Arabidopsis thaliana: one gene and its partner. The protein of the gene in region 1 interacts with the protein of each later gene in a biochemical or structural test. Each region holds a gene or a part of one and is shown on either strand. Other genes may lie near its edges.

Region 1 (7,841 bases):
TTTGCTTGTCCTCGGTTGCCCCGCCTTCTCCTTTAAGAGGTGCTGATTGGTACCAATGGAAGCAGCCCACAGGTACTTTTTCTGAAACATTCTCTTCGAAAGGAACTTGGATGCAAATTAGACAAATTTCTCCTCATGTGGCTTGGCATAAAGCTGTCTGGTTTAAGGAATCTGTCCCAAGGTTTTCATTTATCCTTTGGATGGCTTCCCATGAAAGGTTGACAACGAGAGATAGGCTTTTACAGTGGGGTATGAATGTACATGGTTCTTGTGTTCTGTGTGATTCTGGCCTTGATTCCCATGATCACTTGTTCTTCAAATGTGAGTTTTCTAGATCACTTTGGATTTCGCTCGCTGGAAGGATTTCGCCGAATCCTCCACTCTCTTTACCCTTGGCTTCTATGTGGGTTCTTGGTGTACATTCTTCTCCGCCGCACTATGCAAGTAAGATCTTAAAACTTCTTCTTCAAACCGCTGTTTATATGATTTGGAAAGAGCGCAACCGCAGAGATTTCTCAGCAGATGCTACCTCTCTCTCCGCTACAAAAATTCTCGTTGATCGCACAATGCGTAACCGTCTCATCTCCTTCTCGCCGGAGGAATCAGTTACCACTATCTCTCTCCTTGGATTCTACTTTGGTTGTATTAGTACCCCACTATAGGTGTGGCAAAGCTCATATTTATGTATGTATGGTGTTCCATTAGTCTCTCTTCACAAGAGCTCGGTGTGTTTTTGGGGTTTCATTGTACTATGTAAACCTTTTTTCATTTGGTATAAATCTTAACATTAAACCAAAAAAAAAAAAATGTTGAAACCTGTTAACATAGTCTATTTATACTCTATAAGTGCAAAACAGGGTTTTAACATGATTAAGTTTCGTAGTGGAATATAATAGCGGATTGGGATTGTGTTTCATATAGCATTGCCATTGGGATGTAGTGAATCTTGTTTGGAATAACGTATATCGATTTTTTTTTTTTTTTGTTATTTGGGAGATTTTAAGTTCTAATATGACAAGATTATAACATTTAATTTAACATTAAACCAAAAAAAAAAAGATTGTAACATTTTCTGAATTTTTGTAATTCGTTTTACTAGTGTCAGTTTTTTTTTCTTTTACTTTTAACTCTTTCAAATATTTAGTTATTTTAATGTTTTAAAAAAAAAGACTAATTTGCATCACCACTATCTTTGGGTTGAATATTTATTCAATATGTTCCACTATGAATACGTGAATTATGTGTGTGTTTTCATCTACAATTCATACACACACTCTGTCATGATTGTGAAATAAGCAGTAAAACAACAACAATACTAGAAAAAACCACACTTTGGGACATTAGAGTTCGATGTGAATACAATACTAGGATTTTCTTAATGTTAATGGCGATGCCTCTATTCATTCTTCTTCCTCTTTCTTTTATAGTCGTCCTTCACGTGTCCTGCCCGATCCGCAGTATCCACCCTAGAATCTCGTTGATCTCAACAGTTCTTCAGATCTTTTTCATGCCATCTCGCGGTTAGTTGCTTAAGATACACTCCTCGAGCTTGTTGATCAACCGGAAGGCCGACGGATGGGTTTACTAAACAAACTCATCCGTTATTTCCTACTCGCAATACATAGTTCAGCCTGAACATATGTGTCTAATTGATAGGGTAGGCCAAGTAACAACATACACCCAAAAAAAAAAAAATAAAAAAAAAAATAAAAAAATCGTGGAGATTAAAAAAGCTAAACCAATCGACTTCTTGATTAGTTTGATGATTTTATTAATCTTATCGGTTAAAACCGACCGGCGATCGAGGGTTTGGCTTGCCGAGAAGGAAGAAAAAAAAACCCTAAGATTTATTTCTACTCTTCACTCCATTATCGACTTCTCATCATTTCTCTACCCATTGTACTTCTCTGCTCTTGGGTTGTCATCAATTCGCGAATTTGATACACGCACACCCTAAAGAGAGATCCACGCTCGTTTCAAGGTAACCTAAATTCGAACACTTTCGCAGTTTCCCTTCGATTCGAATAAATCACTGTTCTCCGTGGGCAACAATGTACGCCGGCGGCGATATGCACAGGGGTTCACAGATGCCACAACCACCGATGATGCGGCAGTCGTCAGCTTCTTCCACTAACATCAATCCCGACTACCACCACCCATCTGGCCCCTTCGACCGTAAGTAGACTTTGAGCGTCTTCCTTTTATCGGATTAGTGATGACTGTGAGATTTAATGTCTCTCTGTCTGATGTTGCAGCCAATGTAGACAGTTTTGGGGCGAAACGAATGAGAAAGCATACACAGAGAAGAGCTGTTGATTACACCAGCACCGTTGTTAGATATATTCAGGTAATGTATTCCCATTGCTGCTCACAGTATTTCTTTGTTAGAACCTTTTGTACTGCTTGATTATATTTCTCTTGTTTTCTGTAAAGTTTTAGTCTTGGTCTATATACTCATAGCCTCTGCTTTCCCCAGTTGAATTCTTCGGTCCTTTTTATCTCAAAAGCCATTAGATAGGATTGTCTTTATGTCATGGAACTGATATGGATATGTAGTTCAACGAACTCATACTTTATATGGAACTAAAAGTAGAGAGTGTTTACTCCATATATGTTTTTGTTCAGGCTCGAACATGGCAGCGAGACTCAAGGGATAGGACCACTCTGCAACCAACCCCAGCTGCAGCAGTTGATGTTAGATTTCTTTGCTTTTCTGGGTTTTGCAATAAGATTGAATGGTTTACTGATCTAACTTTTATATCAATGCTTCAGATGCTTCCCACAGTTGCCTATTCGGATAATCCTTCAACAAGCTTTGCTGCAAAGTTTGTTCACGCATCTCTAAACAAGAACCGTTGTTCAATCAACCGTGTATTGGTATATCCCTCTACCAGCTGTGTGTTTTGTATTATTCTCTGTTTGCCATGTTTATCTATTCAAGAAAGCAACATCTTTCTTTCTTTGTTTTAACTCTATTATGCCAACTTAATGGGATCATTGCTGATTGGGTTTCTTTTATTTAGTGGACACCTTCAGGAAGACGTCTTATCACGGGCTCCCAAAGTGGGGAGTTTACTCTTTGGAATGGGCAATCTTTTAATTTTGAAATGATTCTTCAGGTTCGTTTCTCAGATTGTATAACTAATCTGTTGAAACTTCTGTTTTGATTCTTCTATAGTTGCTGCTCCTGGTATTGACTGTTTAAATTTGTTGTCAATATCAGGCACATGATCAACCTATTAGGTCGATGGTATGGAGCCACAATGAAAATTATATGGTTTCTGGTGATGATGGAGGCACATTAAAGTAAATTTGTTTTTCCCTTTCAGTCCCTAACTTATGATGTTGTAAACGAGAAGCTCAGAATTCTATGATTCAAATGCTGTGACAATAAGGATCAATTGTTTCTTATGTATCAGGTATTGGCAGAACAATATGAACAATGTGAAAGCCAATAAAACTGCTCACAAGGAATCAATTCGCGATTTAAGGTAAAAAAAAGTTTGATATGTTGAATTGCATTAAATGAATCTCTCAAAACTGAACAATGTGTATCCAACAGTTTTTGTAAAACAGATTTGAAGTTCTGTTCGTGTTCTGATGATACGACTGTTAAAGTCTGGGATTTTACCAAGTGCGTAGATGAAAGCTCATTAACCGGTAATGTTATTTGAACAGATTGGCGGCAGATACTTTATTTCTTTGTTGCTTGCTCTTCTAATTTGAATTTAGAAGGCCGCTTGAGATGTGCTGTACGTTATTAGAATTGGATTCTTAGGCTACATAGGAAAAGGTGTCATTGAGATTCGCTTTGGTGTCATGCCATGTAACGTTAGTTAGTTTTAAAGGTTCCAAATTGGTGCTTATAACAAGTTTCCTATCCTTTTGGAGGCATGTTTTCACAGTTTTCTTCATATTTGTAATATTTGAGAACTTTCGAAGTAATCAAAGGGTTCTTTATATTTTGAACTCAGGCAGGCCATGGTTGGGATGTCAAGAGCGTTGACTGGCACCCCACAAAGTCCCTACTAGTTTCTGGTACATTATTTTATAGACTTCTATTTGAATAATGCAATAAAAAGAAACCGCTGTATATTTCAGAGCTTCTCTATGGCTGATCATTAACCGCTTTAATCTGTGTTGTCAGGTGGAAAAGACCAACTTGTCAAACTCTGGGATACTAGATCTGGGAGAGAGCTTTGCTCACTGTAAGTAGTACATAATGTAATATGTAATTTTATTATAGTTTCATGTTCAAAGCTTTGACGAATTTGATGGCCTATTCTTACTTCTGCAGCCATGGTCACAAAAACATAGTACTTAGCGTGAAGTGGAACCAAAATGGCAATTGGCTTTTAACGGCCTCGAAAGATCAGATAATTAAGGTAAGTCTCACTTTCTTTTGGGTGGGGGGGGGGGGGGGGGATATTGATTTGTAAATGAGATTTTTTCCTTGCATTATGGAAGCATTTGTATGACACTTATGCATGTAATCTGCAGCTGTATGATATAAGGACTATGAAGGAGCTTCAATCCTTTCGTGGGCACACGAAAGATGTAACATGTAAGCTGTCAAATTCTATAATGATCATGTTTTAAACACGTGAAATCAGACAAACTGGCCGCATCAAATTACTTTTCTGTACATTGACTAGGACTCTAGAGTATATGCCTTTGAAAGATTATCATTGTACCCATGCTTTACTTGTCGACATATGAGACATTATCCCATGGATGCGAGTTTTCAATTTGTTTCTTCGATATTTCTAATTTGCAACTATTTCTAATTAAAAGTTGTCTTAACTCTTTTTAAGCTTTGGCGTGGCATCCCTGCCATGAAGAATATTTTGTCAGTGGGAGCTCTGACGGCTCCATTTGTCATTGGATTGTGGGGTAGGTACTGTTGTGCAGCAGTATGCTGTTTTATTTATTCGTTCATGCTGCTATTGTTTTAATCACTTATAAGGGTTTTTTAAATCATGTTTCTTCTCTACATTTTATATTCAGTCATGATGCATCTACATACTAGTAGTCTAGTAGCATCTTACTTTACCTTATATTTTGTGGTTTTTGTTTGAGGTGTATCTAATTATGAAAACTTTTCTTAATTCCCAGGCATGAAAACCCGCAGATTGAAATCCCAAATGCTCATGATAACAGTGTTTGGGATCTTGCATGGCATCCTATTGGATATCTTCTTTGCAGGTAGCAATTTCAATAGTCTGGTGCTATGAGTTCCTTACAGTTTTATTCTATGATGTGTTGTGGTTCCCTGTGCTCTTGAATAACTAAATGCTTCAGATAATGATTTTTAACCCTATTATCTGCAGTGGTAGCAATGATCACACAACCAAGTTTTGGTGCAGAAACAGGCCTGCAGATAATCCCCGAGATGTTCTTATGCAGAACCAAGGTTTGTTTTTGGGCTATTAGTATCTGATTTTTTAGTAGGCATTGGGATGGATAGGTTGTGGGTAGTACATAATTACTATGTCCTTATCCATCTCAGTAGTAAGGATGTTGTGATAGGCTTAACTGGTCAGGCCCTGGCAGGGTCAGTCATATACTCCTATAATGGCTGGTTCGAAATGGACCTTGGCTTTTTAAGGTTCAGGCTCGGCCAGCCATATGGCACCGTGATTAACTGAATTTTTTTGTAGAAAAGAACAGACTTGACTGGTCAAGCTGAGCTGATCTGATATAGGTGCAGATTTCTACAGGCTTTAAAAACTCAGACCCAAGTACTCGGTCATTAGTATCTCACTTACTGTTTTAATTTTGAGCATGTACTTTCAAGTTGCATTTGTCAGAAATTAGTGTTTTTTATTTAGTGTTTACTAACAAATTGAAGATGTGATTTGTGTGTACTGATAAGCGTAATTTGTATCAGGCTATAATGAACAAGGTTTTGGTCGCCAACCTGATAATTTCCAACCATCTGAGGCATCGCCAATCCCTGGAGCATTTGTGCCTGGGTTGACACGGAACGAGGGGACTATCCCAGGAATAGGAATAGCAATGCCATTTGATGCATCCTCTCAAGGGGATCATAAACAGCCTCTTCCAGGTTCCATGGCACTGGGGGCTCCTCCTTTGCCACCTGGTCCCCACCCATCGCTTCTTGGAAGTGGCCAGCAGCAAGGGTATCAGCAACAACAACAACACCAAGGTCATCCCCAGCAAATGCTTCCAATGCCCAATATGCCTCACCATCAGCTACCACCATCATCTCATATGCCATTGCACCCTCATCATCTTCCCCGGCCTATGCAAATGCCTCCTCACGGTCACATGCCACCTCCCTCAATGCCTATGTCTCATCAGATGCCTGGATCAATGGTATGGCCCTCAGATCTCTTGTAATTCAACCACAACTTAAGCCTGGCTTTTGTCGGTACCCCATGTGTTGGATTCCTCTTTGTTTTATTTTCTTAGTGATATCTTAGAGAGGTGTAGAAAGAGATATTAATCCTCACTTGTTGTTGGAGTAGGGAATGCAAGGTGGCATGAATCCTCAGATGTCGCAAAGTCATTTTATGGGTGCTCCTTCAGGAGTATTTCAAGGACAACCAAACAGTGGCGGACCCCAAATGTATCCCCAAGGACGTGGTGGTTTCAACCGTCCACAGATGATTCCAGGCTACAACAACCCTTTCCAACAGGTCCCATTTAAACACTAGTCTTTTGTTATTTAGTATACCCGTAAAGGTTTCACATGTATATATGTGCAAATAGGCAAAATGTCTACACAACAATGCAAAACACCTGATACGATTGAACCACAATACAACTTTCTCAGCTAGTTTTAAACTCACTAGCTAGGTTCAATGGTATGATTAGATGTTGAAAATGTAGAGCTAAAATAGCATAATCCGTTGACTAATCCGTTGTCTATATTTTATTTCGTGCAGCAGCAGCAGCCACCTTTACCTCCTGGCCCTCCACCAAACAACAATCAGCAACATCAGTAGGCAGCCGTTGTATTAGTACATTAGTTTACAACCGCACTGTCTGCGGGATAAAACGATTGAAGTAAAACTATTATATGGGATTCAAATTTCGTTTCTATAAAACAAAACATAAAAAAAAAAGGTTTTTGTTCTGTTCCAATATGCAAATAATTTGTATTAGAATTTTTTGCACCCGTAAAATATTTGAGCATAGTAACAACTTCCATGTGGAGAAAGTATTGATGAAATACTATGATTTATGGCACATGTCTTTTTTGTATTTTTAATAATTAAATTCATATATTTTATGTTAAGTGACCACAGTCATAATACTCTAGTTTTGATACTTAATGTGAACAAGTTACGAAGTTTTAGTGGCTTCACATGTCAAATACTCTAGTTTTCGTTAACCCGACAAACTTTTTTTTTTTTTTTTTTTTTTTTCATAAATTTCCAATTAACCAAAAAAAGTTGCAATACAAAGCCAAAAGGCCAACACAGCACGCAGGCCTGAAAGAACAAAAAACAACCAAATACAAGTTTAAAAGGCTAGATCAAAGGCAGAAGCCCAGAAGACCCAAGCCACCACAGCAGACGGCGAAGGAGCTAGAACACCAAAGCCCGACCCTTTGAAAACCTGCACAAGGAGAAAGCATCAGACTTGAGGAGGATCTCTATTGAGGAAGAGAGAAAACCAAGAACCCAAAAGCGAGAGTCCGGATCTCCCAGGAGCGCGGGAGCGAGAGAGAGGATCCAACCGAGCCCTTATCACCATCTGAATTTCCTTAGTGATAAGATGAGAAGGCCGCCTGATTTCAAATTGAATACGAGCATTACGCTCTTTCCAAATAAAGTAGACAGAAGCTTGGAAGAGAAGCTTGATAATGAGCA
Region 2 (4,913 bases), on another chromosome or scaffold:
TTGAACACAGTCAGTATCTGCAGATAACATATCTACAAGAGGGCCTTTCAGACAAAGGGTGGCTGCATTTGTCCAAGCAGGATCCATTTGAAAGAAAATCTAGAAACATGTACAAGTTAATTAGCAACATAAAACATAACTATAGGTCCAAAGTAACGGATTCAGTATGTAAGAATCTCAATAATTGATGAGTAGCGGATAATCAAAACCAAAACATATACACATTTTCGTCACCATACATCAAGCATTTGAAGACTTCAAATAAAGAACTACAGTTATGGGCAAGATAACTCATTGGAAAAAAATCTAATTCAGAAAAGAATACGATTGCTTCATGTAATACATAATTAGGCCCCTGCCTGATGCTGATTGATCAAGGGCAAGAGAGTGAAGTCAACATGCTGTATTAACATCAGAAACTATTCTAAGAAACTAAAACAATCAGGTTCCTTCCATATGTTTGCACCACCTAACATAATAATATTTCACAAGGCTGAAGAAAGAGTTGTATGGAATCTAGTACATTCAACCGCGATCAAAAGTGTTTATGTCACCACAATCAGATGCATTTGTTCTGCCATCCACAAAGGTGTAGCAGTTATAGAAATAATAACTTCTTGGAAAGTCAAGAATTTATAAATAACTATGCACGTACAAACACACCATTCATCGTCTAGTATTTCTTCACACTGACAAAATAGAGACAGAACTAAATGGAGTAGTAGAACAGGAAATTCAATAATAAAATAACAGTTGCACCTTGCAAGCACAAAGGCTTGATTAGCGAAAAGGGAGCATACAAAAAAAATCTATCATCAAACATTTCTTCCACATAAATATCGATCAGCACTGCAAGGGCCACCATACAGACATAAGAGCTACTCAACAAAATATTCATTCATCTATGACGAGAGATGGTATATCACATCACAAGCCATCCAAGGAATAGAGACGTGGGAACATACAAAATACATACATAAGAACTACTAAACAAATCATTCATTCACCTATGACGAGAGATGGTATATCACATCACAAGCCATCCAAGAAATTGAGAGGGACGACCATACAGAAAGCACACATTTCAGGCCATTCAAAGAGAGTGGAAAGAAATATAGCCATCATAGTTCCTCAGGCCATCAACAAAAGAAAAGGAGAAACGCATTCATTCCAGCATCACTCATCCAAAAAGGTAAAAGGAATGCCATCATTAACCAATAGACAGCACACCCATAAATTGATATGAAAGAAAATGAAGACGCCAAACCTCCAACATGATAAAATTAGAAAGACGGCCAAATCTTTGACCAGCAGGAGTGGCAAATCAAGAAACCATCTTTTGAACCTCATGTCCTTATCAAACTACCAACTTAAAAAAATACATTCATCCTGTCAAGACCATACACAACATCTTCAATCCATCTAGAGGAAGAGTAAAGAAAATGAATTTCAATAGGAGAGGAAAATAGCGATGTTCTTATAACCAATTCCCACTATAAAGGCAACAGCAAAATTCAGTTCTCTGTACATTAACTCCAACTCTAAAACACCCTCAATAAATTCTACACTTTTCAAACACATCTAAAGTTCTAGAATACACACAAGTAGCGAAATCTATTTGCCCAACATAAGTACATAAACCCTTTCTTAGCACAGGTAGCCTTCTTCTGTGACAGAATCGAACACAGATAAGACGCTGGCAAGCATAAGCAATAAGCCCGAAAATTGTTGCAAACAATTGGAGGCCAATGATGAGACTGGGGTTGCTTCCCATCAGCCTTTTCAGGGAGACCTGAAATTTTAAAAAGTATAATTCACGACTATTTCCTAATAAAATGGAGATTGACATACCTTGCTGCTGTCCAGTTCTCTTGTCCTTGATCAGAGCAACCTCCAGAACATTTCCATGCTGTTCGAAATAGGGACGGATCTACAATATGAAAACCAACAGAAAAAATTTAGAAAAGGTTCTCAGTAATGAGTATATAGATAACAATGATTTCCAAGATTAACTCACTTCTTCTTCTGTAGCTGTCCTTGGTACAGATCCAACAAAAAGCTTGACTGTACTGCTACGATCAGAGACATCTGCAAATCAAATTAACCAGATAAGGATACACATGAAGATGGCATATAGTTTTGATTATCACATACATGGGAAAATCGAAAGGATCCTCTAGAGTCGATCCCATGAAAAACCTTCAACAATACAGTAACATAACAACCATACTACCTTTCAATACTCTAATCATTGATTCCCACAAAAATAAGAGACACTCAGGAACCTTAACAGACTACAAGAATAAATATACATAGAAGAAAGAAGAGTGAACTCATGCTTACCAGTTCCAGTAAAGCTGCCATGGTCTGAGATAGGATACCCTCTTTTCTGACCGGAAAGAGGCTGCTGGACCGGCGGTGTAGTCGGTCTTACAGAATAATCAGACTCCATTGCTTTACCGATAAATCTCCTCCTGTCTGGACTCTCTGAAGGAGGATACTTCGCGGGATAGTTATACCGAGCTCCAACAATTGACCGTGTCCCTTCTCCTCCCACACCACCGTTAGGACCCATTGGACGAAAACCATCATCGTAGGCAAACCCCATAGGCCGAAAACTTCCACCATGGTGAGGACCCATAGGCTTAAAATCTACTCTATCTGGGGGACCATTCATCTGCCGGAAACCTCCATCTCCGGGACCATCAAAATCCTTAGGAGTGTCATCTTCCCAGCGTCGACCACCATTACCTCCTCCTCCGCCCCCAATTCCAATTCGATAATTGCTAGGGCTGCTTCCACGACGACGACGGTGGCGGCGAAAATCATCATCATCCTCTTCGAAGCGTGAATCTGAGGGACGAGATGGACCTCTGGGATGGGCTCGGTGGTTATGGTAGGAATCCTCGTAGCCGCCACTCTCATGGCGATCCCTTCGGTGTCTGTCCAGCTTGACGTAGTGGGGAATTGCGATTCCAGTCGAAGAAATCAAAGGACTAGGAGCCCTAGAAATTTGGGATCTGTATGAAACCAAAGAGAGAAGAAACGAGTATCGAAGATGATGAATTTGATTGAAGATGAGATCAATTTAGTTGCTCGAAATTTTGATTTTTTTGTCCGAATGTAAAAAAGAAAAAGCGGTCTAGTTACGGTAATAGTGGTTGGACCGGTGATTCAGTTGAAATTTGGACCGGTAGACTTTATTGAGTCTTGGCTGATAACGAAAAATACAGCTACTTGGGCCATCAATATATTTATATACTGCCAAAAGGGGGATACAATTGTTCCAATGAGTTTTCGTTAACAAAAGGAAAAAAATTGACATTTCAGGTAACTCTCACATTCTTAAGTCCAATCCAAAATTCTCATGTCAACTATATGCTTCAGAAACATTTTGATATAGTACATGCATTTCATGGCGTTTATTAAATCATGTGTTGGGTGATCAATAATATAAAGTTCTAAGTAATGCAAAATACTTGCATCACTATATGAATTTAGAGGATATATGACTAGGTCTGAACTACCTTTTACCTAAAATAATCAAATGAATATTTACTGTTCGTCTCCTTCATCATGAGTCACTAGATTCATGAGTCAATAATCAATGGCTTTGTCTTGAGTCAAGTTAATCGTTTAACAGGTTTTTAATGGTTTGAAAGCAAAAAGAAATCTTACCAATATATATAAGTGTAAAATGTAATCTCTATATATCACAAACACAATATTGTTATTTAATCTATGATCTTATTATCTCAGAAAATTAATCTAATAATTAAATGACCTATAAATAAAGAACTAAAACAAAAAATCTATCATTGATGAAAAATACACAAAATAAGAGAGAAAGTTAAAACAAATGTTTTTTATTATTTCAATTTTTTTTTTGCCAAAAACAACAAGATACATGTACTAAAAAATTACCAAAAAGCAAAAATATGGCTTCACCATCCAACTTCCCATTTTCTTGACAATACATCTTCACCGCTCGCTGAATTCCAAAGATAAAGGCCATCAGTTTTTGCAGTCCAAATGCAATTCTTCCAACCGCATCTATGGAACAAGATAACATCATCCCAAAACACGTTTACATTCATATGACCATTATCTTTGTTCATATAGCACCAAAAAAAAGTTGAGTGAAGCATATTTTCTCCGAAGTTCCAAGAAAATCTATTTCTAAACTTCAGATTAATTTCACCTAGATCATCTTCTTTAGATTTACAATGGATGAAAAGAGTTTCACCAGTTGTCAAACCGTTAACAACCGTGACTTGCCACTCAGAAATCTTCGGGACTATAATGTCTCTCGTGGTGGTGCCGCCGACTAAGACATGGTCTTGACATGTTAGGGCCAGAGAAAAGCAAATTGCCAAGAGAAATTGTTTGATGCAATTCATACTTTTTTCAGGCAAGCAAAATCTTTAGGGAGAACTTTTTTGTTACTTCTTTTTATAATGGAAGAGTGAAACGGTAATTGACGTTTAATTAAATTTTGATGTTATTACATTGCATTAATGAAGAGTCATGCTGCAAATCATTTAAGTGATTGCATGTTAATTAGAAATGAAGCTGAAAGGTTAGTACATATAATAATCCAAGTACGTAGATGATTGTGGCATAATATATTAAGATTAAAAAATACTAATTTATATTGTGGTGTAAGCTATTAGTTTTGAATTTATTATGTGAATCAATTTTAAAAGTTATTAGTTTTTAGATTTAGATTATGACCCAAGAATTCGAAGTATATAATCGAAAAATTTAATGTATAAAAATAATAATTCAACATGGTCGATCGGGTATTTATTTCTAGTAAAATAGTATTTCATAAACCTAATTTTAGTTAACTATATAAATTATAACACTAGTAAAGTATTCTGCCTTTTACGTTACTTTATTGGGATTAATAA

Evidence for each region.
Region 2: the proteins of FY (region 1) and FCA form a complex in vitro, tested with the Arabidopsis thaliana proteins (3 studies listed by BioGRID).

Annotation. Positions count from the first base shown.
Region 1 is NC_003076.8:4,325,768-4,333,608, reverse strand, and holds FY (Transducin/WD40 repeat-like superfamily protein), read left to right. Parts: upstream 1-1,637; 5' UTR 1,638-1,981; exon of another isoform or gene 1,982-2,051; coding exon of another isoform or gene 2,052-2,087; coding exon 2,088-2,175; intron 2,176-2,255; coding exon 2,256-2,347; intron 2,348-2,556; coding exon 2,557-2,694; intron 2,695-2,772; coding exon 2,773-2,877; intron 2,878-3,023; coding exon 3,024-3,119; intron 3,120-3,223; coding exon 3,224-3,306; intron 3,307-3,419; coding exon 3,420-3,491; intron 3,492-3,562; coding exon 3,563-3,660; intron 3,661-3,978; coding exon 3,979-4,038; intron 4,039-4,147; coding exon 4,148-4,208; intron 4,209-4,297; coding exon 4,298-4,385; intron 4,386-4,500; coding exon 4,501-4,564; intron 4,565-4,814; coding exon 4,815-4,893; intron 4,894-5,115; coding exon 5,116-5,205; intron 5,206-5,330; coding exon 5,331-5,413; intron 5,414-5,890; coding exon 5,891-6,339; intron 6,340-6,491; coding exon 6,492-6,662; coding exon of another isoform or gene 6,663-6,680; exon of another isoform or gene 6,681-6,830; intron 6,831-6,911; and 4 more.
Region 2 is NC_003075.7:9,211,736-9,216,648, forward strand, and holds the start of FCA (flowering time control protein FCA), read right to left. Parts: upstream 3,091-4,913; 5' UTR 2,678-3,090; coding exon 2,344-2,677; intron 2,089-2,343; coding exon 2,018-2,088; intron 1,931-2,017; coding exon 1,852-1,930; exon of another isoform or gene 1-1,851. Other genes in the region: SPH1 (S-protein homologue 1), read right to left, coding at 3,945-4,400. UniProt on the Arabidopsis thaliana protein: Plays a major role in the promotion of the transition of the vegetative meristem to reproductive development. Plays a role in the regulation of flowering time in the autonomous flowering pathway by decreasing FLOWERING LOCUS C mRNA levels.